Arabidopsis thaliana: one gene and its partners. The main gene of each other region encodes a partner of the protein of the gene in region 2 in a complex. Each region holds a gene or a part of one and is shown on either strand. Other genes may lie near its edges.

Region 1 (7,658 bases), 7.6 Mb from region 2:
ACCTGTAATTTTGTCAACCGTGATTGAAGAGTGTTTAAGACCTCACTATGAGTTCGCATTAAAATCTCCCAAATGTCACCATCATCCTCTCTCCCAGATATCTGAGGCTCTTCCTTCTACAAAAGCCAAACAAATCAAATACTTGTTATGTATTCAGAGCTCTTCCAACTTTGTAATCCTAGCAATTTCATATTTTCTGTATAGCATCAGCGACTATATTCAATTATACAACAAACTACATTTCGAAGTTGGAGAAAGTACGCTGTCTATTAGTTTCCAAAACTTATTAATTGAAGCTTACCTGGGTCAAGATATCAGAAGATTGTTGAGTTTTTGTAGTCTCATCCAGTGTCATATCAGTCACCTGATCAAATACTGCAGGTGTTGCCAGCGTTTGAGTTGGACTAAATCTTTGCCTGGATCTTATATGAGATGCATCAGCTGTCACATTTGTTGCTTGATTAAGTTTCACAGGAATTACACGGGCGGGAGAGTTCCTAGCTGATCGTGTTAATGCAACTGGAGGCTCATACGATGGCATATTATCTGCTTGATTGAGTTTCATAGGCATTATACGGGCAGGAGAAGTTCTAGCCGATCGTGAAGATGATAAAGGACGCTCATCATACGTGGTAGATGCTTGATTGAGTATCACAGGCATTACTCGTGCCGAAGAGGTCCTAAGTGGTCTTGTTGATATTACAGGAGGCTCATCAGATTTCATGTTAGTTGTTTGACGCTGATTTAGTATCACAGGCGTAACTGGGGCTGGAGAAGTCTTTGCTTGTCGTGTTGATGTTACAGGAGACTCATCAGATGTCAAATTAGTAGCTGAAGGCCTATCAGGCCGTGTTGATGTTATAGGAGGCTCATCAGATTTTATTTTTGTTTTCTGATTGAGTTTCATTGGCATGACCGGTGCTGGAGAAGTCCTAGTTTGTCGTGATGATATTACACCAGACACATCAGATGTCAAATCAGTAGCCGAAGTCCTATCAGGCCATGTTGATGTTATAGAAGGCTCATCAGATTTCATTTTTGTTGTCTGATTGAGTATCATTGGCATGACGGGGGCTGGAGAAGTCCTAGTTTGTCGTTTTGATGTTACACCAGACACATCAGATGTCAAATTAGTAGCTGAAGTCCTATCAGGTCGGGTTGATGTTACAGGAGGCGTATCAGTTGCCATGCTAGTGTCCCGACCGAGTACTACAGGCATTACTCTGACTGGAGTACTCTTAGTTCGTCGTGTTGATAACACAGGAACGTCAACTGTGGTCGAGTTAGTTGCCTGATCAAGTTTAACTGGCATTACCTGGGTAGGCATCATGCTAACTGTCTGTACCGATGCTGTCAGGGGCTCTTCCTCTACAGAATTAGAGCTATGAACTACTGTTGCACTGGCTGCTTTATCTTCAGAATGAGTAATTTTTTCTCCTCTTTCAAACCTCTCAACCAATGACCGTGTCCTTCCCGAAACAACTTTTACTGCAAACACAGCAGTTTTTAAAGAATCAATAACCAGATGACGCATATCCTACCAAAGAAAAACAAAGACAGCAAACTTTGAATGGCTAACCTCCTCTAACAACCTTCACAGATTTTGATTCTTTGCTACCTCCAGGGGATTCAAGGCCTGCATGACAAAATATTCATAACCAATTATAAAATGATTGCTGCCTGAAGACCGAGACTCTTGACCACAACTGACAAGAAAACTGTTAAGGAAGCCCTAAAAGTAGCTAAAGATTTAGATGTAGAAACCTACAAGCTAATGCTATTACTTTTCTGCCGGCTCATTTTTCCAGATTGATTTTTCTTGTAGACGGTCTTTAATTTAATACCTCTTCTTAATTAACAGTTTTAAAAGGTGAAAGGAAGCCAAACACATAACGTTTCACTAGTTTTAACATTGGCTTTAGAAGCAAAAATCCCCATTAATTAGTCTACGCCACTTTTGAATCAGGAACTTACTTTTTAGTTCATCACCAGCTTTTTCTGGTGACAGAACTCTTTCTGACCTACTTGAAATGCTCTTGTTCTCGATATCTTCCTCACATGGGTTACTACCTCTGTCATCCCTGAGCCCTGTTGGCAAGTCCATGTCTCTTGAGGACTCTAACCCATTCTTTTTACTGTCTAAAGCTCCAGAATCAGTAGATGTCGCCCATCTTGCCTCATTGTACTTAGTACTTGGTGATCTCTGTACACGAGGCGGTTTCAGCAGCATACCTAAGTCAAAGATTGCAAGATTTCCAAAAGGATAGGATTAGATCATCTGAACGCTCAAATCTAATGAAACTAAGGTATGAACTGGGAGAACCTACATTTTGCTTCATCAGTCGGTGATTCTGGTAATAAAGCTTGTTCAAACTTGTTGGTGATACTCTTGATGATAGAATCGTCGGCATCATATGGGTTCCTACCACTCATTTCTGAATCAAACGCCGTCTCAGTATCTAGTTTCTTCTCACCATCCAATCCACTTTTCTTTAGATATCCAACAGCCACTGACTGCTTCTTTGTTTCATCAAACTTTGTTGGCGTCTTTCTTACATAAGCCGGTCTCAACAGCATGCCTGGCTTTGTTTTTGAGAAAGTGATAGATTCCTTTCCTGAATCAGAAGAGTCTTTCCCAATATCACTATCCCGTGGAACAACACTATGCACTACTAAAGACTTATTATCCCCTGCTTGTCCAGTAGAAGTTGCTGGAGTACTTAGAGATCCTGACTTATGTGCAACAGCCGAATTTCCGCCTGTAGCTTTGAAGAGAAGAGAGAATATTAAACCAAATATAAACGATAAGCATACAGAAGTGAGAGACAAATGAAATTTACACTGTCGCAAAACAGAAACTGACATTAAAGACTAAAAATAACAGTCCAGGTCACACAGTGGTTATGGCTAGCGATATTTAATTTATTCAGAAACGACGACCACCATTTCAGTCTCATTCAATTTCAATAGGTACAAAATTTAGGAATATACACCAACACATGCACGGAAAATATATGATTAGAGCAGGCCTAAAGATAAGGTAGCTTTCCTATCACTAATACAAGAAAACCAGAGTCAGTGATCTCTGCTAATAGTCCATTGCAACTAATCGTTAAATGTTGATTCACTTTCTAGATATAGGTGGTTGAGAGTAATAAGTAAGCTACCGCCCAGGGACTTCTCAAAACCTAACCAAAAACCTGCCATATCCTACTCTAAAACGAGAAACTTCAATAAGTTCAAGGTAGAAAACTGAATCTACAAACATCGAACAAAATTAACATTCACTCACAGTCGATGTATATGTTTTTGATCTCTTTCGTCTCATAATCTGGAGATGAGCTGCGCCTTGGGGTACTCTTTATTCTATCGAAGGACTGATCATCCAGAGCACTGAGTATTTTCTCCACGCACTCTTTTTTATCCGCAGATCCAATGCCGTATGGCTCAATCTGCTGTGTTAATTAAGGATAAAAGAAAAAACAAAAACATGAGCCTTCAAAACACTTATTTACCAGCTCGGACATAAATTTTTAGAGGAAAATCACAATAGCTGACATACTGATATATCTGAGACCCAAATCCCTACTGAATTTTGGTAGTATGAACAACCCAGGAGCTTTCCTTCGCTGATGCATAAGTCACCAAGCGTTGACCATCCCATATCAACACCATCATGGCAAACCACAGGTTCCCATGAATAAACCTGAATTATGAACATCAGCTTATGATATCAATGTTTTTGACTCTGGAGAACCCTTTATATGGTAAAGCTCATCACAAAGAAAATCAAAACCTTTAAGCTGTCATCCAAACCACAAAATAAGGTTCGCCCATCCGGATGAAATTTGATTGAACGAACTCCAGTAGCCTGTGAAAACAAGGAAAACCACATACCACATAAATTGTGTGAATAACATCTTCCGAGACGGCTACAAAGCTAGCTCAACGCCAAAACATATTTCATCACATGCTGCTTTCTGGACTCCGTTCACTTTTATTTACTTCTAAATCTTTTTAAGAACTAAATTTTATCTTGGCATTTCTCTAACACACTCTTCAGATCAAGGCCGAGAATAAGCAGATTTCTGATATTTTTTATGTGTGAGATTTCCCTTCAAGGTGATCACGCTAACAGGAAATAAACGTAAAAAACACTTGTTATAGAGTCCCCTAGAAAACAGTATCTAGTGACACCACAGGCTAGTACCTCTGGTCGGGTAGATCCAATCAATTCAAACGTTTCCAAATCCCAGAACTTTACAGTCCTGTCAGCAGAACCTGAATATGAATAGGGAGAGTGTGAAATCACAAGAATTCAATATAAAACTGTGATTAAGGAAATGTCAGTAGTTAATCTACCAATCGAAAACGACACCAAGTTACCCCTATAATGCCTGAAAAACAAAGAATCACAGACTAACCTGTGGCTAGGAGGAACTCAAGCGGGTGGAAGTCTAGCGAACGGATAGGTCCTTCATGAAACTTAAATTCATGCAAAAGCTTTCCAGCAGTCAAATCCCATACCTATTGGATACAACATATATAGCAGTATCGTTCTAAGATCATAAGTTTGAAAAATATGATGCACAAGCTTCATTTGTTGAAAATGCTGTTCTTACCTTTACAACATTGTCAAGTCCTCCGGAGACTACCCAACGACCATCGGGAGTAAACCTGATAGTGCTGATGCCACGAGAATGACCCTTGTACGTCTGTATGCATCCCTTCTTCCTGATGTCCCAAATCTTTAGATTCGCGTCACTAGATCCCGATGCCAAAAATTCACCAAAGGGATGAAATTCAACAGCAGAACAATTGGATCTATGTCCAGTAAAAGCTCGAACCACTACACTTCAAGAGCAAGAGTGAAAATGTTAGACCTCATAATTCTAAACTAAAAGTCTGGTACACTGCTCAAATAACCAAACCCATAATCCACATAGCCGATAACTCAAATGATATCCAATATATTCCCATTAAACAACACTAGCTCAACATAAAAGAAGCAACAAATATTCTAAAACAAAGGAGAGCAGAAAATCAATAAACTAACTCTTTGCTTCTTCAACATCCCACAGCTTTATCACACCCGAAGAAGCTCCAGCAAGTACCAAAACTTCAGCGGAGTCAAAAGCTACTGAATCCACTGCACTAGTATGTCCACACAGACTCTGCCAATAAAAGGCTATAGCATCATTCTTCTATCCATAATAAAACACAAATTTTCTGTCAAAGACATACTGAAGAAAGCAAATGTGAAACAAACCATTAAAGAAGTAGGCTTGCCAATCGCCCAAAGATTGACTTTGTAATCATCACCACCAGTTATAAAGAGCCGTGATGTCTTCTTTCCGATACTTAGACAATTCACATTTGCAGAATGTGCCAAAAACTCCTCTAAGTTTCCAAAATCAAGTTAAGTTATAAACAAACCCACAGAGAATAACATATCAACAAAAATAAATTCAAAGCATATCCAGAAAAAAAAAATTGGAGAAGACAAACATATTAATTGCAGTGTCTTTTTCTATCAATTTGCTCTCAGTTTAATTAAGCAAACAATAATAGAAACATTTTGACCAAATTGACGAAGAGCTAATAAACCAAAGCTTGTTTATGAAATAAACCCCAAGCGATTCAGTGATAAAGAAACTGTTAAAATTTCTCAAAATCGTCAATATAAGGATACGTAGCTTATAACCACGCTTCGCCATTTTTTAACTCGATTTTCCAGCGAATCCGTGAGGGGGAAATAGAAATTTGAATCTGGAATCGAATCTGTAGCTTCCGGAATCGATTTAAAACGGTGAATCGGAGCTACAAAAATCCGAATTGTCACTAAACGACAGAGGTCGAGATTTTAGGGAGATTTCAAAGGGAGGGATATGAGAAGAGATCGCTTTCCGTTGAGATTTGAAATCCAAAAAACGTGAGAGAGAATCAGATTCGGGGAAGAAGATTGAAAGAAACGAGACGAAATCAGATTCAAATAGTGACACGAAGCAGAATTAAGAAAGAAACAGAGAAGAAGAAGAAGAAATTTTGATAAAGCGAAGAAAGTTTTTTTTTTTTTTAATCGGTCGGTAGGTTTTTTAATTTTTTAAAAAATTTAAAAATATAATTAAGCATTTTTCTTGGACAGTGGACCTCTAGTTTCTTCGTTGTTCGTTCTTCTCGGTTCTGACGAAAACACCCTTTTGTCCGGGCATTGAATTCGAGTGGAAATTACGAAAAGAACCCTTGCTTCCAATTGACTTCTATTGGTACAGTTTTTTTCTCCAACTCCATCATAATTTGTTAGTTTTCTTTTGTCGAAAATATTATTTGATTGGTGAGGCAACACGTCATCATCTCTTGGTTTTGTTTGTTTCTTGAAGACATTTTCAACCTTAGGAATGAATTATAGTAATTTCAATCCATAGATGTATGATGGATGCTAACTGACGTTAAAAAAAGAAGAAGATTATGATGATAATTGTGTGTTTTTTTTTTTGACGAAATGGAATTATATTGAGCTTGAATAATTCAATTTCAACTGTTGTTCAAGACAAAGTAGCGGTTTAGCTACATCAATGTAGGAACTGGAATTCAAACAACCAAATTTTGCTAGTTTATGAGCCGTTTCATTACATCGACAACATTTCATATTCAGACAAATCAGTTTTTATTTTTTTATTATTTAACTTCTTGTGCCAATAGATAACATCTTGGTGTATAAAGATGTGTTAAGTAAAAAAAAAAAGATGCGTGAGTAGAACCAATAACCGGATCATGAAGTAAAATGATTTTAAGAAGAGGAAAAATGTCGTTTTATACGCGAACTTTCAAAAAGTGGTCATTTAATACGTGAACTTTTTGTGTGGCTAAATAAAACATAATAAAAACGTTGACCGATCATTTCACACAAATGTTATTGTTGACCAGGCCAAAATCCCCATGCCGTTATCTTTCATTAATGGATATGTTAGTTCCGTTAACACACGTTAATTAATTTCCGTTAATACTCAAAACGACGTCGTTTCATTGAAAAAAAAGAATCAATATTCCCAAATTGATTTCAAAATCCCTAAATTCCAAAATGGAATCCAATTCGTTTTTCTTCAATCCATCTGCTTCACATGGCAACAACATGTTCTTCTTTAGGAATCTCAATCCCGTTGTCCAAGGTTCTTTTCTCACTCTCATAATCTTATTTTACCATGTTGGAAGTTTCCCTGTTTTTGTTTTGTTTTGTTGTCTTGTGAATAAAATATGATGAACACACACACATGAGAACCAATTTGAATATGAATAACAACATTGACTATTGACAGCAGTTGTTCGTTTGAATTTATGAAGGAGGAGGAACAAGATCGATGATGAACAAGGAGGAAACATCAAAGCGAAGGCCTTTCTTTAGCTCCCTTGAGGATCCCTACGACGATGACTATTACGACGACCACTTGCTGAAAATAAGAGGCTGTTAGGGATTTGGTTTTTAGAATTTAAGGATTTGGTTTTTGGAATTTAGGAATTAAGGAATTAAGGATTTTTTGGAATTTAGGGATTTTGAAATCAATTTGGGAATTTTGATTCTTTTATTTTAATGAAACGACGTCGTTTTGAGTATTAATGGAAACTAATTAACGTGTGTTAACGGAACTAACAGATCCGTT
Region 2 (5,286 bases):
TTAGAAAGGAACAACTGAACAAGTAACGAAGAAGGATGAAGTGTAAAGATTTGATTGGAGGCATGCAGAGATATCATGTTCTTCGCCGTCTCTACGGAAATATACTATATACGTCACCTCGAAAACATATATTGATCGATCATCGATGATCACATATTCATATGATAGAATTGTATTTATTTTGTTTGTAGACGATATGATATATAATCACGTAGACAAAATTGAGGAGGGAGCCCAACGATGCAGGAACACTCTCGAAACTGGTCTGATGATAAACGGTGCTGCCTTGTCTCTTTACATTTTCATCAGTTAAAGGGTAACATATATAGTATTTTATATAGCACGCAGTGAAATTTTTGGTCAACGATAGGATGATGTTTCAATCCCTATCATTTACAAAATATACAAATACTTTCAAAATGATTGCAACGTATTGGAGATACAAAGACCAAGGTGATTCTTTGCTGGTTTTTTTCTTCTAAGACAGTAAAGAAATTATGAACACTAAGTCTGAAGCCAAAAAACCGAAGAAAATCATATAATCCTTTTCTTTTTTCGTAGAGGTTTACAAGTTTGGAATATAGAAACATAAGAATATGTTAAATGACTGGCAAATAATAATAATGATACAATAAACAACAACACACAAGAAAAGGCACACATCTTTTGACACTAAATTAAAAAAAGTGGGTTTAATTAAGCAGATCCAAACTCAGAGAGCCACTTCTCGTGTTTCTCGATATCAGAGGAAGACACACTCGGTTGCACTTTCCTAATGGCCTCTTCGAAATCACACATTGCCACTGGATCATTTGATATATCGTCTTTCGACATGTTCTTTATCTCATCTCTCGTTTTCCCCGCTATCTTACGCCGCATCCCGTTCATTGATGCGTCCCTGCACACGTTAGTCAGATCGTCTCCACTGTACCCTTCCGTTCTCCGGGCCACATCTTCAATGTTAACATCACTCGCCACCTGAAAAGTGACAATGTTCATTGCTAAATTGATTGCGTTGGACCAGTAGAGAGATTTGCGAGTGTTGTAACAATGTATCCACAACTAACCTCAACTGTTCTCAGATTGATATTGATAAGAGCCTTACGACTTTCAAAATCTGGAAGTGGGATATATATACGTTTTTCCAACCTCCTCCTGCACCAACGTGAGCTCCAGAATCAGCAATTTCATTATATTAGAGCAAGTCTAAAGACGGCATTAACTCAAAGAATATTTAAACCTGAGAGCTTCATCTATGTCCCACGGGAAGTTGGTAGCTGCCAATACCATTACTATTTTGCGACTACCATCTTCATTTGTCGCTGTATTGCTCACTCCATCTACTTGAACTAGGAGTTCCGATTTCACCCTTCTTGATGATTCATGCTCTCCAGAACCCCTGCATCACACCTCCACCAATTACAAATACTTTTCATTTCAGTATCGAAATCTCAGTATCGTCAGGAAAATTTACCCCCGAGAATTGCAGAGAGAGTCGATCTCATCAATAAAAATTGTGCTTGGAGCATATGCCCTAGCCAGATCAAACAGGCATCTGACCATGCGCTCACTCTCTCCACGCCATTTTGAAGCTAATGTAGCAGAAGATACATTGAAGAAGGTGGTACCACACTCAGTTGCAACAGCTTTTGCCAACAGGGTTTTACCTGTCCCAGGAGGACCAAACATGAGAACTCCTTTCCATGGTCTTCGAATACCCTGAAGGGAAACAAAAACAATCAAATTAAGTATCCTCTATACCTGGAAGATCAAATATAAAGTCTACGGAAATGATGAATTGAAACTGTTATTCTGTATGATTGCTCCATGTCTAATAATAGTAATATAGAATCCAAATTTCACAGCGTATGGAGCAGAATCAAAGTACCTGAAAGTATTCGGGCATCCATAAAGGAAGGACAACTGCCTCCTCAAGCAGCCTTTTGGCTTCAGACAAACCTGCAACATCATCCCAACGGACACCAGGAGTTGAGTCCAACACATCCCTTTCAAGCATAGCAGCCAGGTCCTCATCAGGTCCCTCATACAATCCCCTTTTTGACTTCCCATCTTCAGCATCACCATTCTGATATCAACGAGGAAGCCGAAAGTTTTATTAGTTGTTGAAAATAGGTGGAAACTACCGACTCAACATAACCACAGGAAACATGGCCATGACTCTAAAGTTTCTAAATACAGATTTCAGAATTAGACATTCATAAACGTAACAGAAATCATGATCTTTGATACATCAGTCCTACTATAACATAACAACTTCGAAGTTTCATGACATCCTGTCTATCACCAAAGTAAAGTAATGGAAATGGAAATGCCATAGTCAATATTGATTGATGGAAAATTTTCAAGTTTAACCTTCTCTATTGTGCAATACCAAAAGGCAAAAACATATAACTTACCATAGACTCAGCCTTGTTAGATTTTGAGGCAGCTCCCTTCTTTCCGGCAGTGGAAGAGCGGGCACCTGCAGTTGACTTACTAGTAGCCCCACCTCTGCCACCACGGGAAGCTGGACCGGTCCGTGTAGTAGGGCCACGAGCCCAAGCCCCATCTTGAGGTGATTTTCTAGTACCAGTTTGACCAGCCCTGGCGGGTCTTCGACTAGTAACATCACGGGTAGGAGGCCTCCACACATCAGGATCATCCATAGGACCACCACCGGATGAAGTTGGATACTCATCCAAGGGCTGAAAAACAAAGGATGATTTGGTATTGATAGGTGGAGAAGCAGCGCGACGCCCAGTGGGAGCTTCTTTAAATGCTCTCCTCTCTGCATCCAATTGCTTCACAACTTCCGTCTCTTCCATTATGGCCTTTTTAACGTTCATCCATTTGGTCCGGGCCAAAGGATCGTCAAGGGTGTTTAAATGCCTAAAACAGTATACCATAGCTTCAGAACCACTAACGCAGCACATAAGAGTGTTCTATCTCTGTCTACACAGACATTGCACGGTGAACATTGCAAAATTCTAGATTTTTCTAAGCCCATTTCAATACAATCCAACACGAAACTATTAAAGTAGCTTAGGGCTTGAAGAAATTGCCAAAAGGGGTGACAAAAAAGCTAGATTCAAGACTGGAGAGATAAGAGGAGCTACTTACTTGTTGATCTGAGCAATGGCGCCATCGAAGAAGATGACAGATGTGTCATAGGATCCTTCTAGTGCATATTCTCTCGCTAATTTCAAGTGGTCTTGTAGACCCGCTAACGAATTACTACTTCCCACCATTTCCTCTTTTACTAAAAAAATAGCCTATTCCAAAACAAAATCAAGGGTTCCGAGGCAAGAGCTTCGATCTCGGAGAACCCAAATTCTCCTTCTTTCTCCCTCTCCGGCTCCGGATTTCGGAGATGTGACTCGTCGGCGAAGATGGAAGACAAAGTAGAAGAAGATGGAAGCCACGTCGATGGTAGTTATGATCCAACCTCTCTTTCTTTATTCGGGTTCGATTCAAATATTTTAGATTCGGGCCCATCTACGGCCCACTTTCAAACCAATAAAGCCTAAAATCATCATCGATTTTAACTTTATTTATCCTCTGGGTTCAGAAATTAAAATTTCAAATAAAAGGCCAGATTATCAATTTCTCACAAGTCATAACGTCAATCATAAGACTCGAATTTAAATTTTTGAATTTAGAGAAAGACTCATAACGAATAAAGCTGATCCAGTTTTTGCTTTTGCATTCATTGCTGGATTATTCATTTGAATAAGTAAAGAGTATATACATACACCAAAGGGGTTAAGGATTCAACCATTGGTAACAACATCCCAAATACAATGACTTTGTAAAGAAGAATCAGCTATATTGATTATTGAATAAACAAACACTCTTTTATTTCTTTTTAAAACAACTATATAGCTTCAACCAAACGCAAAGTAACCATCTTTTGACCCTTCTTTAAACAACGTCTCACTCCACCATTCCATGGTGAAGCAGCTCCTCTATTCCTTTCCTCAGCCTCGCCGCTGCAGCTCTCATTTCAACCTCCTGCAACCCTCCAAAGGAAACCCGGAGATACCCGGGGCTACCACTTGCACACCCCGGGATCACCACCACACCATGGCGGTGAGCCAGCCACCGCACCACCTTGAAATCATCTCTGTGTCCCTCTGGCAGTTTTGCCCACAGGTATATCGCTCCTTCTCCTCCCTTAACGTTCTCCTTCCCCAGCGGCTCAAGCGCCTCTTTCACAATATCCCTGTTCTTCACTAGACTCTTTACCCGTTCCGTTATCCACCCAGAACCTTCCTCTAATGCGTATACAGCCAGTCGCTGCGAGATTATGGCAGCACAGATTGGGATGTTGTCCTGAATTTTCACAAGCTCTGTTGCAAACCCATCTAATCTCTCTGAGTAAGCTATCTGCAGGTCCATCAAACCTTTTTATAAGACAATCCCAGTGTTTAGTTTGGAATAGAATTGAATCGAGCACTCACATATCCAAGCCTCCAACCCATCATGCCATAGGTTTTAGAGAAAGAGAAGACATTAACAATGTGGTCTCCCTCAACGCAACAATGTTTTAAACCGTCATACATGAAATACCTGCGATTTTCAAATCCCCGCTTATTACTACATTCAATTTGGACATCATAGGAATTAAGGAAATGAGAAACTCACTCGTATGTGTTATCTACAATCAGCCAGCACCCTGCATCTTTGCATATTTGAGCAATCCTCTTAAGCAGCGGTTCAGGGACATAGGTGCCACTTGGGTTACCAGGATTCACAACAGTTACAACTTTCGGAGTCGGTTTAGACTCAGACAGTGTCCTCTCTAACCAGTCTGGAACAAAAATGATTCACTGGTCACAACTAAAGCTATGTTAAGTCATGAAAAACGTGATACAGAATCAAGGAGGTACCAGCGTCAGGATAGAGAGTGTCTGACTGGCCAGGACCAACAATTATGTTGGTGACTCCTGTCATCTGAAAGGCCATGTAGGAGTTGAAGTAGTATGGCTCAAACATGACAACCGAATCACCAGCATCACATAATGTAATAACAAGGTTCACAAACGCCTACATTAGATGCAAAAACAGAAACAGAGTATGAGAGTAGAAGAAAACAGAAGGAAGAGCAATCAAAAGAGTAAACAAAGACAGGTTATACCTGATTGGCACCTGCAGTAACCATCACTTGTGAATTGGTTAGCTTGTTTTCTTCACGCAGCTTCAGAACAAGACAAGGAATCAAAAATAAAACAAGCTCAGTCACGGAATTGGATTCAAGAGCAGCAAAAGTGGTCACTTTATTGGATA
Region 3 (7,849 bases), about 26 Mb from region 2:
CTAGCCTGCATTGTGGTTTATTTACTTTTATTGGTGAATGAGAATCAGCGTAGCAAACTAAATGAGATTCCAGAGAGTGGTGTTAGCTCAAATACCTTTCATTTGCATGAAGATCAACGCCGACAATCCGTGGAGCTGAAACAGTTGAGCGTATAACTGTACCGAACACTGCTACAAGCTTCAAGAGCATATCCAAGGAGACATTTACCGGCCTGCACAGTCGTTACTCTCATTTAGAAACCAAGTCATGAAATCGTTATAGCTCAGAAGCAAAAAAATATGGTCTAAGGTGGAAATTTGGTATGATATGTTTACCTCTCTGTCCTGCTACCCAATAAGCTTGTGAGGACAGGGACCAATTGAGAAAACATATCCAATGTGAGAATTTCTATTTTTTCAGTTAGAATACTGATCACATCTGCTTGAACCTGTCCCAACATCTATGAGTTAGCTTATCTAAACATACAAACATCAAAAACAAAAGTAATCTACCGAGAATCTGAGATACCCACAGACTGATCTGTCAGTTTTCTTAATGCCCCAATTGCGCCTTTAACATCGCTACGCTCCCAAAAATGTCTTACAATCTGCATGTTTAGAAGTCAACCACTTGCAAACTAATACTAAAACAAATAATGGTCAGGGAAAAGAACAGAAAAGAAGCAAGAATGCTTACTTGTAACTTTGTCAACCTCGATTGAAGAGTGCTTAAGAACTCGTTATGGGTTAGCATAAGATTTTCAGTTATGTCACTATCATCTTCCCTATCAGATATATTCGGCTCTTCCTTCTGCACAAAGCCACAAACCAAACAATCAATTACGTTTGTCATGTATACAGTACTCTTTCAAAGTAAAAAATAAGTTGCCTAGGCTAATCATTGCAAAGTACCTGAGGCATGTTATCGCAAGCTGGTTGAATTTGTGTTGCATGTGTCTCATCCAATGTCATATCAGCCACTTGATCAATCACAGTGGGTGTAGCCAACATTTGTGTTGGACTAACTCGGTGCATGGATGCTATATGAGATGTATCAGATGTCATGTTAACAGATTGATTTAGTTTCGTGGGCATTACACGGGCTGGAGAAGTCCTTAATGGACGTACTGATGTTACAGGACACTCATGAGATGTTGCCTGACTGAGTAACACAGGCCTTACTCGTGCTGCAGAATTCCTGCGTTGGCGCCTTAATGTTACAGAAGCCTCCTCAGATGTAATATTTGTCGCCTGATTGAATGTCACAGGCAATATACGGGCATGAGAAGTTCTAGATTCTTGTGTTAACGCTACAGAAGGCTCATCATATGTGACATTAGAAGCTTGATTGAGTATCACAGGCATCACTGGAAATGAAGAAGTCCTAGCTGGTTGTGTTAAAGGAGGCTCATCAGATGTCACGTTACTATCCCGATTGAGAACAATAGGCATCACTCTGGCTGGAGTACTCCTAGCTCGTCGTGTTGATATGACAGGAGTTTCACCTGTCTGTCTTGATGTCTTACGCGGATCTTCCTGCACTGCATTATTGTTCTGTTCTATTGTTGTACTGGCTCCTTCAGTATGAGTAGTTTTTTCTCCTCTCTCAAACTTCTCAACTAAGGAGCGTGTCCTCCCCGAGACAACATTTACTGTAAACATATCAATTTATAAGGAAACTGTAGCCAGCCAACTTAAATGCTAAGAAGAAAAAACAGAAACAGCAAAAGTTTTAAATTCCTAACCTCCTTCAACAATCTTCACAGGGTTCAATTCTCTGCTGCCGCTAGGGTACTCAGTGTCTACAGAACAGAAATTTTATACCGGTCAATTACTAATTGATCATTGTCTCAAAACCAAGTACGTGAACCACAGACTACGGATGATGAAGAATTCGAAGCAAGTTCTAACAGTAGCTAAAGATTTAGATAGTAGCAATCTATAGTAACTAGATATAGTCTAGTAGCTCTTCCTAATAGATGTCTTTTGGCATCGTGGGCTGTCTTTTTGTTCACTCATATTTGACACAAAGCCAGTCACATTAAGGTTGCATAAGATTTGGCGTTTGCTTTAATAGAAAAAATGGCCATATATTAGTCAGTTTTAATTTTTGAATCAAGAACTTACTTTTCTGTTCATCGCCAGGTTTTTCTCGTGAAAGAACTCTTTCAGTTTTGCTGGGAATATCCTCTACGTCTCCTGAGTTCTCCATCCCACCTTTGCCAAAAGTTGCCGGATCAGCAGACATTGCTCGTCTTGTGTCATTGTACTTGCTATTTGATGACCTATGGATACGAGGTGGTTTAAGGAACATACCTGAGGCAAGGTTGCAGAGATATTCAAAAGATAGATTAAAATATCTGAAAGCTACATGAAACTAAAGTCTGAGAACAGGGAACCTACGATTCGCTTCATCAGTTGGTGGTTCCGATGATAAAGCTTTTTCAAACTTGTTAGTAATACCCTTGATGATAGAATCTTCAGCATCAAAAGGTTTACTAGCATTCTGTTCTGAAAGAAACGCGTTTTGAGTTTGTGGTTCCTCCTCAACAGCCAATCCGCTTTTCTTTCGAGTTGCAGATTGAACAACCGCTGACTGTTTTGATTCTTCAAACTTTGCTAGCGTCTTTCTTACATGTGCTGGTCTTAGCAACATGCCCGATTTCGTTCTTGAGAAAGGGATAGATTCCCTTTCTGAATAAGAAGATTCCTCTCCACTATCACTATCCCGCGATGTACTAGAATACTTGTCTCCTGCTGGTCCAAAATATGCTGCATTCTGCTTCTCGCTCACCATAGTAGCTACTTTTCCTGATTCCAAAGGCAATGTCGCTTTCAGAGATCCTGGATTTTGCGCTACATTCAAATTTCCACCTGTGGCTTTAAACAAAGAGAGTTCAAATCAGACCAAACATAAGGAATTAGCCCACATAAGTGAATGACATAGAAATATTATGTTGATCTGGCCAAGAAACAGACATCAAAGCCAAAAAATCACATGTCAGCTCCCCCAACTATTGTCTAAAGACTACTTTGTTCCATACAATAACGAATACTGCGATTTGCATTTTGGACTCATTCATTTCAATTCCTACAAAATTTTTAAGTATAAACAAAAGAGTTCACAGCACTATATTGTGACAACATGCTTAAAGTCTAGATACCTTTTTGTGTTGCTGATCACAAGAGTTCCTACTACAGTTGCAATGGTTTACATTAAAAACACTTCTGACTAAGTCAAAAACCATTTCAAGCATTCATCCAGGTGCCAAGATAGCAACTAGATAACCTCTTACATCACAGGTCATTTATACTGACAGATGAAGGCCTAGCATATATCTGCCATACCACACTTGCAAAGCAAATGAACATAAAAACATAATTAACATTCACTCACAGTCGACGTATATGTTCTTTATCTCTCTTGTCTCATAATCTGGGGATACGCTGCCCCTTGGGCCACTTCCCATTCTCTCAGACTGATCATTCAAGACACTAAATCTTTTCACCATGCATTCATTCTTATCCTCAGATACTGCTCCATATGGCTCAAGTTCCTGAGAAACAAACACGAACTTAATACAAGTTTAAGTTTTTCACATGAGGTATGGACATTCACATTCGGTTACATACCGATATATCTGAAACCCATATCCCAACAGAATTTCGGTAATATGAGCAACCAATAAACTTTCCTTCGTTGATGCAGAAGTCACCAAGTGTTGACCATCCCATATCAACACCGTCCCGGCAAATCACTGGTTCCCATGAATAAACCTGCATTATGTGCATGAACTTATAATATCAGTGTTTGACTCTGGACATCATCTAAGTTGTATAGTTGAGCACAAAGACAATCAGAACCTTCAAGCCATCATCCAATCCACAGAAAAGGGTTTGACCATCTGGATGAAAAGCGATTGCACGAACTCCAGTAGCCTGGAAAACAAAGGACACCACATGCCAGGAAGAAGGTTGACAATAGTGCAAGTAAAACTAAGTCTTATCTTATGGACTATAAAGTGAATCCAACGCTAAACAGGACAGATTAATAACAAAACACAAGCTCAGGTACCTCTGGTCTAGTAGTTCCAATCAGTTCAAACGTTTCCAAATCCCAGAATTTCACAGTCCTGTCAGCAGAACCTGAATTACGAAAGGGTGGTATATGAAGTCAGAAGACCTCAAAACAAACCTAGTGGATGCAAAACAGTAATTTATCAACTAAAAGAAAGCTGCTACCAATTCAGCCCTAAAACACATGAAAAGAAAAGCTAAAAACTCACCAGTGGCTAAGAGAAACTCCAGCGGATGGAAGTCTAGGGAGCGAATAGGTCCTTCATGACACTTAAACTCATGCAATAGCTTTCCAGCAGTCAAATCCCATACCTATTGAGTACAATAAAGAGTACATTGTTATAAGAACAATCATTAAGGAACAAAACAATGCACTTGTCGTTACTGCTGTTCTTACCTTTACAACGTTGTCAAGTCCTCCAGACACTACCCAACGACCATCAGGGCTAAATTCAATAGTGCTGATGCCGCGAGTATGACCCTTGTATGTTTGGATGCATCCCTTCTTTCTGGTATCCCAAACCCTTAGATTGGTGTCACTAGATCCCGATGCAAGAAATTCACCAAATGGATGAAACTCAACAGCAGAACAATTGGATCTGTGTCCAGTAAAAGCTCGAACCACTACACTTCAAGAGCAAGAGTGAAAATATTAGACCTCATTATCTGAAACTAACCATCCATCACAGGACTTATAATTCGTCCAGACAATAACAAGTGTGAGTGCCTCTAATATAATCTAGGGATAATATATGAGAAGAGAAAATTAATCAGCTTACTCTTTGATTCTTCTAGATCCCACAGCTTTATCACACCTGAAGAAGCCCCAGCGAGTACCAAAACTTCTTCTGAGTTAAAAGCTACTGAATCAACCGGGCTTGTATGCCCACAAAGACTCTGCCAACAACACATAAAATAAAATATCATCACTCTTCTATGAAGAGAAACAAGATGTTACATGCTTTATACCAAGAGGGACCACAATTTTGACATTTTCATACACATTAGCTGAAATAACTGTAGTTATAGCTATAAGTGGCAAATCTTGAAACCAGATAAGAAATTGCAAATGAAGACCAGCGAGAATGAACAAATTAAAAAAAGAGAGAAATGTGAAAGAGACCATTGGAGAAGTGGTTTTGCCGATTGACCAAAGGTTGACCTTATAATCATCTCCACCTGTTAGAAGGAGCCGTGACGTCTTCTTTCCGATACTTAGACAATTCACATTTCCAGAATGTGCCACAAACTCCTCTAATTTTCCAAATCCAAGTCAAGAAAAATTCATATCCAGAACGAAAGAAAAAGTCAAGACAAACAGAGATAACAATGTCTCTTCTATCATCTGAACTCGGTTTGGTTTTTAAGATGACAGAGGCAGAAATTAGAACCCAGAAGAACATTTTCATGAAAAATCTCAAATAACAATTTACCAACAAAAAAAAGAACATAAACCCCACCAATGCAGATAAACCCTAACGCTACAGTGAATGAACAACATCAAATTTCTAAAGTTAGGGGTGAAAATAAATCAAATATGTAGCTAAAGTTTGTATCTTTTGTTATTCAGGTTACAAGTTTCCAATAATATAGCACCAATGAAGAACTATAAAAGGATACGTAGCTTATATCCACGCTTCGCCATTTTCTACTCGATTTCAGTAGATTCATGCGACTAGGAAGCTGAAGCCAAATCACCAGCCTTTGTTATGAATCGAAAAGAATTAAAAACAAAAAAATGTCGGAGCTGGTTTAAAAATTCAAAATGTGACTAGACGACAAGACAGAGTTGAAGATTTCTGGGAGATTCGGAAAATAGAAACTTGAGACATAAGAGATTGCTTCCTGCTGAGATTAGAGATTTAAAGAAGAACTTAGAAAGAAAAGAAGAGATTTTTTGAAAGAGTGGCACGAGCAGACGAACAAAACAGAGACGAAGATAAAAAAAAGTAAAGCGACGAATTTTTCGTCCTTTTTCTCAGATTCTGTCATTTTCAATTCTTTATTAAAAAAAAAAACACATTTCCGGTTGTTATGTTTTATTTTATTTTGTTTATTTATGTCATTGATGATGAGAATAATACACACACAAATCGTTGAAAACTTCAGAATATTGGACCCTCGTCGTTACTTTTTCTGACGAAAATACCCTTCCTTTTCTACTACACGTATAAATCAACCTAAATATAAATATAGCACTCACAAGTCACAACTAACGGATTACAAATTTAAAATATTGTTTTGTTTTTTTATTGTCGGTTTTAAAATATTGTTTTTATCATGATTGAGTAACAGGAAAGGAAAAAAAAAAAACAAAGTTAAAAAGTACTATGTTCAGTTTGACGAAAAAGAAAAATAACAAGTATTACTGGTTAATCGCAATACGTTTTAACACTTTTTTTAAGATGTCAATCACACAACTTGATTGAAATAAATAAAATACTCGTCAACTAATTCCATTTTAATATAACCAACTCAACGGCCTGAATTAATATTGAATTTTATACCACATTGAATTTTTCGTATAACCAATAATACACGGATACAATCTACTACAACTAGATCATACTAAATGACTAATTAACTACCACTTCTTGATTCTAAAAAAAAAGACAATGAAAATTTCAAAGTTTGGTTGTGGCCTTGTGGGTAGATTAATTGATCTGAAAGAAGAGGTTGATTGAAGTTTGATTTAACAACTGTTAATCACGTTTTGAATATTTGTGTTTGAGTGTTTTTGTTCCTACGACACATGTATTTGCGTTTAAACGTTCAATACAATGTTCACACTTTTTTGGTCAACTGTTTTCTCACTTCCAAAATGTAATCATATAGTAGTAAGATATTTTTTTTTCACATTATAAAAACCCAAAAAGATAATCACGGAATCAAGGTTTGTAAAAGTTATATTTGGTGAAGATCTCCTGGTTTATGATATGTGACATTTGCTTGTATTGTATTAAATTGTTTTTTTATAGTTATAAATTATTACTCTAGTTCCCGTGTTATAATTTGTCTCTCTTTTGGACAAGAGCATAACATGATCTAAGTGCTTCCCATGTTTTGGTGTTTTAAGTTTTCTTGCATAATAAGGGTCAATCCCAATCAACGACTTTATTTGGTGAAGTAAAAAGAAGATCATTTATTTCGATAAGAAATGTTTGTTACTTCCACAGATTGATTGACATAAAATCTGAAATCAACTCAAACGTACTTTATGAATATTGAAAAGTACAATTTTATTATGTGATATAGTAAAATAGTTTTAGATTGTTTTTTGCTTTCATTATTTAGTAGTCACTAACTTCTTGTTTTGGCTAGTATTCATGTATAATCCCAATACTGTATATATTTTAAGAAAAGCTCTTCTCGTCTCTTCCAAACACGTCAAAATCAGTAGGTAGATTTGTTTAGATATGAGAGATTAAACTTTGAAAATAAGAAACTTTTCTCCGAGACAAAGGACGTTGGTAAAATGAAGCTAGAGACTTTGTTAGGGGATCATATTTTAGCAGACCGCGGGAATAGCGATGTGAGAGCAAAATTGTCTTGTTCTTGCATAACGCCACAGGTGTGGATGGATTAACCAAATCCTGCTCGTCCCAGTAAAATTCATCACGAAACTGAGTCCGGGAAGAAGAACATGAAAGCAAATCTATAGTACAAATCTTCTCCCATGAGTCTTCTGATGATTTCAACCTCCAAATCTCTTGGACCAACGTATTCGGTTCTCTTTTCGACATGCACAAACCATTATCCAGAGTGCACATGTCAATATGCATCGGATCTGAAC
Region 4 (7,587 bases), on a different chromosome or scaffold from region 2:
TTAGGCTTTAGTACTGTTAAACTCCACATTGGAACCAAATCCACATCCAAAAAGTATCACGATGAAACTTCTTGAAATGTTAAGTTGAGTTCATGGAGAGTCTTGGCCACCAAATTTCCTCTTCTACATATCCATAAAGAGATATATATATATATATAAGACATAAGATAATAGACTTCAAAAAAAGAGAGAAGATAACCATCTAACTCTTCATTGTCCAGTAGATGAAATTTACCCACCTTGCTAAAGAGGGAAGGCAAGCCTTGATTTTCTCGAACTCGACAAAGCAACAACTGTACCGCTCCATCCTGAATAGCAAAAATCATATTTGACTTGCCAAAGAGAGTAAATTGCAATCGAAAACGACAATGAATGGTGAGATTGAAGCTCGGACCAACCTTTGCTCAGCCTCAATATCTACACCAACAGATGAGGGAGCGGAAAGCGACGAGTAAATTTGTGACCCATACATTCTTACCAGCTTAAGCAGCAAATCAAGGCAGACACTCAAATGACTAGAGACATGAAACGGTAATTAGAAATCGAAAACAAAATACTACAGAGACGGTAATTATAAAACAAAAACAAAATACTACAGATTCATAGTTTAATAGATAACCATGTCATTATGTTCTTCAAAATGACTTGCTTACCTATCCATGTTGCTCCCTAGAAGAGCTGTCAAAAGGGGGAGAAGAGAGGTACAGGTATCCAGTGTCAAAATCTCAGGTCTCTCGTTTACTATAAGTAGTACATCCGCAATTACCTGTACCAAATGAAATAATGAGAAGTGGAAAATGTTTACGTGGTGTTTTTATATACATGGATTTGAAAGGAAACAAACAGAAGTTGCTTACAGCATTATCAGCCATCTTCTCTATTGAACTTATCGAGTTTTTAATATCATTTCTTTCCCAATATCTACGGACGACCTGCAAATTTGGTGACATTATTTAGAAGATAAACAATGTTTATGGAAACCTATGAAGGATTACTGCTAGCATTCTAATTAGGAAACAGACCAAAAGCATTATCATAGTGTACTTTCATGCTGTTACCTGTAACTTAGCCAAACGAGAGTGCATAGAGCTGACAAATTGATCGTGTTGCCCCATTATGTCTGCAACTATATCTTCTTCGCTAGCTGAAGTGATTCCTTGATCAACTGGCACATGATTTCCTCTCTGCTTGAGCTGTATGAAAGGAAGTAATGTCATCAGTATCTCTGTAGTAACTGGGAAATTTTATGTCTGCCAATACGCTGAAGATGCAGGCCCAGTTGAAATTGAGTTCTAATGAAAAGGATCTGACATCTGACTAATTACTCGTCACTCTTTATTTTGTCCTTCCTCATTCTTCGTTTTTACAGTTTCTATTTTATAGTCTCAGATCCCAAATTAAAAAGAAAACTAAAATTAAAAGCCATTACCATATTGGAAGGGCGACTGTTTGGTGCAGTCATATTTCCACCAGAAGAACTCGAAACAGGACCCTCAAAGTTAGAAAATCTTCCTCTTCTTTCCCTATTTAGAACGAGGGAATGCAGTCTTCCTAGTATGTCAAGGCACACAATTAGAATCTTTTCTTACGCACATTAAAAGGGAAAAACAAAAGAAAAAACGAATGTTGGGAAAGAGTTACCTCCTTTTCGGCTTTCAGTAGGACTTGAATCTCTATTTGCATTATAGCTAATCAAGTCAGCTGGAATAAAGAGTTAGTTAGCCCAGAACTGAGAACAGCATCCAGAAAACTCAGACACATCTATCTATAATATTGAAGGACCAACTAAACAAAAAGTTGTTTTACTGAAACAAATTGTACTACAAGCAACATGTATACTTAAAGACTGATTCCTAGGATCTCATAAATATAAACCCAAGTCCCTCAGAAACTTAGAAAAGTGTTCTCCAGATTTAAGATGCCACGATGTCTTAGCAATACGAAATGCCATTTATATTTGCTCTAAAACAAAGGAAGACTAGAAAGGCTTGTAAACATACAGTTTTCGTCGTGATTTCTCGGAGGTGATCTCACCAGTGATCTTGAATTAAACCTTCCAAATACCCTGCATTTGCTCTCTTTATTTGTTCTCTCAGCTGTATCCCAGGAGCCACCTTCGTCACTAGGATATGTATTCCCATCTTGTAAAGTGATTGGTTCTATAGGTTGAGACTGAGACCTTTCAAGAAGCGAACTGGTTGGTAGATCTGGCTCATTTCTGCTGCTCGACAGCCTTCGAGAATCAGCGGCCTTTGACTGCAGCGAATATGGCATAGTTCTTCCGATAATGTCAAGTTCTGCTCTGGATTCAGATGCCTGCTCAATTATTGGCTCCGTTCTGGGGACGATTACTGGAAAATAATCCTCTTTATTGACTACTGGAGGATTCGCCTTTGGGTTAGCTTTTCCAAAATTTCTCTTTGAGGCTGCAGCATTAGGGACAACTGTAGAAATACCAGAAGCACTTTTTGGAGCACTGGTCAAAGTAACCCTGTGAGGAGAGTCTGATACACTTCCTGTGGCTTCAACAAACAGCAGACAAACCAAAAGATGTGATATCATTTAGTAAGCAGCAAAATTATAACAAAAAAGTGAAAAGAGAAAGAAAAAATAGAGCAAAGTAAAAACATACATGACAGGGTTCTTGACTCTTTTACTGTGTCTGAGCTGTGAGTAGCTGAAAACCTTCCGAGAGGCTTTGGTTCCTTTACCAAAGGATCTGAACTTTGAGATACTGATGACCTTCCAGTAGACTTTGTATCTTTTGGCAACGGATCCGAGTTTTGAGAAACTGATAATTTTCCAAGAGACTTTGTTTCCTTCAATAAAGGATCCACTTTCTGGGAACCAGGCAACTTTCCGAGAATAACCTTTGAGCTGTTATCGTTCAGACCTGCTTGATCTCTGCCTGAGCCTGATGTTTTCTCTGGATGAGAATTTGACTGAGTGGCGCCTCCACTCATAGGCTCAGTGCGCTGAGAGTGTCATTAGAAAATTGAATGGAGAGCTTAGAGATAACAAGTATGGTACAGGCCAAACTATAACAAAGCATGTAGGGGGAGAGAGAGAGAGATATACCGAGAGGTCTACAACCCAAACGCCTACACAATTTTGATTGTATGAGCAACCGAGAAGCTTTCCCTCGTGAACATTCATATCCGACAAGTTTGACCATCCAACATCCACTCCATCATGACATCTTATTGGCTCCCATGAGAAAATCTACAATTTGCATGGAAGTTAGAGAAGAAAGGATAGCAAACATGTATATTCAGATTAAAAGGAGTAAGTGTAAGTGTTATATCCTTAAAAGAGGAATTTGTTAAGTTCATATATTTCTAACTGGGACATCCTGAAGAACTTACTTTAAGACTTTCTTGCAATCCACAAAGCACACTCTTTCCATCTGGATTAAAGGTTAGGCAACGGACCCCAGTAGTCTAAGAAATGAAAATATTAGAAAGTTGAATTAAAGATCGAATACTTATAATTCGACTCAATGCATAAATAGAAGCAGTACAGACAACACATGATACCTCAGTTCCACCAGAACCAATAAGCTCGAATGTTTCAAGGTCCCAGAATTTTACAGTCTTATCAGCTGAACCTAAGACCATAGGCAGAAACAAACATAATTCAAATGAACAGTAAGGAAAACAATGCCATAAGAAGAAATATCCACTACTGAAGTCTCTCTCCTGTCAAATCCTAACACTTAACATATGAGAAAGCTGTAAAATTGTGAGTTACAAAGAGACGATGATGCTACAGTGATCTAATGATGTCAGGGTTAGTTACAACATGTAATTTTGCTTATAGCACTCTTAACTTTAAGAATAAATCGGGTTCATATCATTGTGATAAATCTATGTCACCCGAAAAACTAGGAGCTTCAATGTTACGAAGTTTCCCTACTTAGAGTTATACAGACCTGTTGCCAGCAGAAATTCATGGGGATGAAAATCTAGACTCTGAATTTTCCCTTCATGACTCTTAAACTCATGCAAAAGTTTTCCAGCAGTCAAATCCCACACCTGGTGAAGGCAACCCACATATCAGTCCAACGTTAAGAGAGAGAGCAAAATTTGCAGGTTACTTGCTTTTCAGGAAAACAATTACGGTAAACAGTACAAACTCTGAGATGAAACAAAGAATAACGAGTATCCAAGTTGATCAGGTAGTATGAGCGTATTTTAGCACTAAGAAAAATTCTCCCCCTAGGATAGTAAGGTCAGCCGCATAGAGGTATCATTAAAGTAAACAATCACATGTTCTCATCCACACATAAAGAGCCTACTCTGAGATATTTGTTCAAGACTTTGACTACCATCTCTCAGAACCAGTTTATGCCTATTTCACAAAATGTGGTATTGTTCTTCAAAGTATCCTCGAAAAAATAGAAATTTTGAATTCTATTAAGTTGACTCCCTAGTTTTCCTCCCCAATACATACTAAGAAAGGAAAAAGGCAGCTACAAACCTTGACAACATTATCTTCTCCTCCAGATACAATCCAACGACCATCTGGAGTGAATCTGAGTACGTTGACCCCTCTAGTGTGACCCTTGTAAGTATGGATGCAGCCCTTCTTTCTTATATCCCATATCTTGAGATTTGTGTCTAGAGAACCAGAAGCAAAAAACTCACCAAAAGGGTGAAAATTCACGGATACGCAGTTTGACCTGTGACCAGTGAGAGTTCTGACAACTACCCAAAGATGCAACCAAAATAACATACTCAGTAAATATACGAGCCGGCTGTGGCTGACTAAACAGAGAATGAGAAGAGTAAATTTAGATGCTCATAGAGCTACTGAACTTACCCTTTGCTTCCTCCAGATCCCAAAGTTTAATTGTACCACTAGCAGCTCCTGCTGCTACTAAGCCTTCCGAAGCATCAAATGTTACTGAATCAATCCCGCTAGAGTGCCCATACAAGCTCTGACCACAAAACAACCACAAGTACTCAGACAGAAAATATTCCAACCCGCTCAACTACATTATATCTAAAGTATGTCGCATTTCCCCTAAACTATATACCGAGGCATTCCGCAATAGAAGCAGGGGAGGGAGAAATGAGAACTAACCAGGATGGCGTTGGGCTTACCAATAGCCCATAGATTAACCTTGTGATCTTCTCCGCCTGTAACGAGAACCCTGGAGGACTTCCTCCCAATCTTAAGACAATTAACAGCAGCAGAATGTGCCACAAATTCCTCTTATAAAATGTATCACATAAGTCAAGGCTAAGCAATACTCTGGGATGAGACTCTAGTCAAAGAAGAAATTGACTAAAAGTTTATAAATTTAGAAGCACACAGATACCGAAATGTCATAAATGACTTGAAAAAACTCAAAACACAAAGCTACGAAGTGCATACAGATCTCGTGAACCAGAGCAAAAAGCAGCAGATCAAGCACGACACTGGAGTCAATCAATAAGTCCCAGAAATAAACAAACCCTAAAAGATGAAATCAGAGAGAAAAGGATACGGAGCTTGTAGGCGCGCTTGGTGTTCATAGCGGAAACGAAACCCTTACATCGGCGACCATCCAAATTCTTCTACTCACGAACAGACAAAAACCTCGAAAAATCTCAGCTACTGCAAAAGCACCTTAAGATCTCAGCTTGTCAACAGCAATTTGCAATCTGAAATCTCGAATAGATCAGTAACAACGAAATGGGGAACCAATCCATACGAAGAGGTGAAGAAACTATAGCATACCAGCAACACCCAGAAAGCCAATCTCAGCACAGAAACCAAATTTAGATCGATTGGAAAAGAATGCAGATTGAGGAACAGTATCTTGGAGTAAACGTCGTTGTTTCCTTTACGAAGAAGATAAAAATGGAGTTGTTGGATGAGTTATACTTATATATATATTTGAAAGTGTGTTTTCTCTCCTCTAATGGTGAAGAAGAGAGGAGGGAGATGTGAATGACACACAGACACACACAAGGAAGCAGAGAGAGAAAGGGAGCTGCTTTATTATTTTACTTACCTCTTCTTCTCTTTCAAATTTCCAAACTCATTTTTTCAAAAAAAAAATCATTTATTTTGGCAAAAACGTAACATTTCTAATCTACCGAGTTCAAACAGACCAAACTAAAGTAAAAGTTGATTCCTGAAAATTGTTAGAACTATATTTGATTCAGTTATAAATTCAAACTAAAAACATACCAATCTAAATTATACTTTATCCTAATTGAAATTCTTGTCGGTGCTCTAGTGCAATTATTAATAGGTGATTGTCGTAAAGAAGAACGATAACCGGTTTGTTTTGGTTTCCTAATCGGTTTAGGTTTTGTAAATTGAATTTTGTTCCGATTAAATTTCCTGACAACATATACGAGATTTTATAAGAGGATATGTAGAATGTAGCATACCCTTTAAACTATGCATTACAAATTCTCTGTTGTCCTTTTTTTTGTGTGTGTGTTTCTTCTAAACACAAACGTTTTCTTGCTTTTTAGGTGATAATATGGTTTGGTGACTTGGTTTAGGAGACCTACGTCTTCAAAGACGGAGGAACTTGATGAGATTAATGACACTCATGAGGAGAAAGAAGATGACTAGCTACGATTTGAAGATAATGATAACAAAGAAGATATTTTGGATCCCTGTTAACAAATTATGATCTTCCTTAGGTCCTACTCTTAGTTGGTTGAAGTTCTTGTATTGTAATGGGTTGTAAATTTAAACCTTTGTTTGTCTAGGTAGTGTTGTTTTGTACTTAATGCATATTGTTCAGTACTTACTTTTATTAAGGAAGCTTCTGTTTTTCATATATCCAATTCTGTTCAAATGGATTTTAAGCATTAATTAGATCCATTGTTTCGTTCTGTCTCAACTTTTTTCTCTCATATGTGCATTCGATGTAATGTATGATTGCATGTAGGTGTAGTTTTTGTCTTTTAACTCTTTAGTAAGCAAAGAATCAGGTTTTCTATATTCAGAATAACCGAGTTTACACGTCAGGGTGATTGGCTCATTTGAATTGCACATTCAAGATGCATATTACTTCAACACACATGTATATATAGACTACTTTTTTGTTCATGACTGCTTGGAGTATTTGCATTCATTAGCGTGCAATCAAATAATCGAATGTCCAGCTTTAATGGCAGACTTACTCATCTTTCGGGATTAAATTCACATAGTAGTATATAATAAGGTAACTAATTAATGCAATGATTATTTTAAAACATAATAGTATTTGTGTTTACAAGAAGAGAAAAGGTAAACACATAATTAAAGCAAAAGGGTCCGATCGATACAAAGGATTAATGGACCATGGGAAAGAGCATTTGGAATTAAAATATTGAACAAATGATTTAAGGTTAACTAGTTTTTAAAGAAAACTTGGAAAACACAGCGCAGAGAGGGATGAAACTAATGAATTAGCCGATGTAGATGTGAATCTTGAGTGCGAGAAGGAAGACGCAAACAAGGGAGAAGTAGAGAAGAGAATGGACGATAACGGAGACAGCGCTTGTCTGAAAATTACCAAACTCAACGTACTTTTGTCGTCCCGGCAACTGAAACAGAAGCCCTGGCGTAAGCATCACGAAGAGTATCACCGTAACT

Evidence for each region.
Region 1: ERH3 (region 2) and DWA3 share a complex: the UniProt entries of both Arabidopsis thaliana proteins name them as parts of the KTN80-KTN1 complex.
Region 3: ERH3 (region 2) and AT1G11160 share a complex: the UniProt entries of both Arabidopsis thaliana proteins name them as parts of the KTN80-KTN1 complex.
Region 4: ERH3 (region 2) and AT5G08390 share a complex: the UniProt entries of both Arabidopsis thaliana proteins name them as parts of the KTN80-KTN1 complex.

What each region holds. Positions count from the first base shown.
Region 1 is NC_003070.9:22,562,844-22,570,501, reverse strand, and holds the start of DWA3 (Transducin/WD40 repeat-like superfamily protein), read right to left. Parts: upstream 6,008-7,658; 5' UTR 5,718-6,007; coding exon 5,693-5,717; intron 5,401-5,692; coding exon 5,270-5,400; intron 5,175-5,269; coding exon 5,057-5,174; intron 4,850-5,056; coding exon 4,623-4,849; intron 4,528-4,622; coding exon 4,425-4,527; intron 4,282-4,424; coding exon 4,211-4,281; intron 3,872-4,210; coding exon 3,797-3,871; intron 3,707-3,796; coding exon 3,563-3,706; intron 3,456-3,562; coding exon 3,293-3,455; intron 2,766-3,292; coding exon 2,328-2,765; intron 2,233-2,327; coding exon 1,975-2,232; intron 1,637-1,974; coding exon 1,580-1,636; intron 1,489-1,579; coding exon 302-1,488; intron 117-301; coding exon 3-116; intron 1-2. Other genes in the region: AT1G61200 (homeobox-leucine zipper protein-like protein), read left to right, coding at 7,082-7,169, 7,342-7,469. UniProt on the Arabidopsis thaliana protein: May participate in a complex which severs microtubules in an ATP-dependent manner. Microtubule severing may promote rapid reorganization of cellular microtubule arrays.
Region 2 is NC_003070.9:30,204,803-30,210,088, forward strand, and holds ERH3 (P-loop containing nucleoside triphosphate hydrolases superfamily protein), read right to left. Parts: upstream 3,467-5,286; 5' UTR 3,249-3,466; coding exon 3,121-3,248; intron 2,890-3,120; coding exon 2,418-2,889; intron 2,087-2,417; coding exon 1,889-2,086; intron 1,720-1,888; coding exon 1,475-1,719; intron 1,400-1,474; coding exon 1,241-1,399; intron 1,156-1,240; coding exon 1,068-1,155; intron 979-1,067; coding exon 697-978; 3' UTR 512-696; downstream 1-511. Other genes in the region: AT1G80360 (Pyridoxal phosphate (PLP)-dependent transferases superfamily protein), read right to left, coding at 3,934-4,386, 4,461-4,569, 4,645-4,810, 4,890-5,046, 5,138-5,197. UniProt on the Arabidopsis thaliana protein: Severs microtubules in vitro in an ATP-dependent manner. Required for oligomerization of functional KTN80-KTN1 complexes that catalyze microtubule severing. This activity may promote rapid reorganization of cellular microtubule arrays.
Region 3 is NC_003070.9:3,731,258-3,739,106, reverse strand, and holds the start of AT1G11160 (Transducin/WD40 repeat-like superfamily protein), read right to left. Parts: upstream 6,024-7,849; 5' UTR 5,702-6,023; coding exon 5,677-5,701; intron 5,311-5,676; coding exon 5,180-5,310; exon of another isoform or gene 4,984-5,179; coding exon of another isoform or gene 4,954-4,983; coding exon 4,836-4,953; intron 4,681-4,835; coding exon 4,454-4,680; intron 4,369-4,453; coding exon 4,266-4,368; intron 4,126-4,265; coding exon 4,055-4,125; intron 3,919-4,054; coding exon 3,844-3,918; intron 3,757-3,843; coding exon 3,613-3,756; intron 3,537-3,612; coding exon 3,377-3,536; intron 2,860-3,376; coding exon 2,383-2,859; intron 2,296-2,382; coding exon 2,107-2,295; intron 1,782-2,106; coding exon 1,725-1,781; intron 1,632-1,724; coding exon 892-1,631; intron 791-891; coding exon 677-790; intron 588-676; coding exon 513-587; intron 429-512; coding exon 316-428; intron 213-315; coding exon 96-212; intron 6-95; coding exon 1-5. UniProt on the Arabidopsis thaliana protein: May participate in a complex which severs microtubules in an ATP-dependent manner. Microtubule severing may promote rapid reorganization of cellular microtubule arrays.
Region 4 is NC_003076.8:2,699,380-2,706,966, reverse strand, and holds the start of AT5G08390 (Transducin/WD40 repeat-like superfamily protein), read right to left. Parts: upstream 6,009-7,587; 5' UTR 5,725-6,008; intron 5,649-5,724; 5' UTR 5,520-5,648; coding exon 5,492-5,519; intron 5,217-5,491; coding exon 5,086-5,216; intron 4,940-5,085; coding exon 4,822-4,939; intron 4,707-4,821; coding exon 4,480-4,706; intron 4,035-4,479; coding exon 3,932-4,034; intron 3,608-3,931; coding exon 3,537-3,607; intron 3,441-3,536; coding exon 3,366-3,440; intron 3,223-3,365; coding exon 3,079-3,222; intron 2,976-3,078; coding exon 2,633-2,975; intron 2,523-2,632; coding exon 2,001-2,522; intron 1,702-2,000; coding exon 1,642-1,701; intron 1,552-1,641; coding exon 1,430-1,551; intron 1,194-1,429; coding exon 1,059-1,193; intron 933-1,058; coding exon 858-932; intron 767-857; coding exon 654-766; intron 516-653; coding exon 399-515; exon of another isoform or gene 309-398; coding exon 240-308; exon of another isoform or gene 124-239; coding exon 57-123; 3' UTR 1-56. Other genes in the region: AT5G08391 (transmembrane protein, putative (DUF 3339)), read right to left, coding at 7,401-7,587. UniProt on the Arabidopsis thaliana protein: May participate in a complex which severs microtubules in an ATP-dependent manner. Microtubule severing may promote rapid reorganization of cellular microtubule arrays.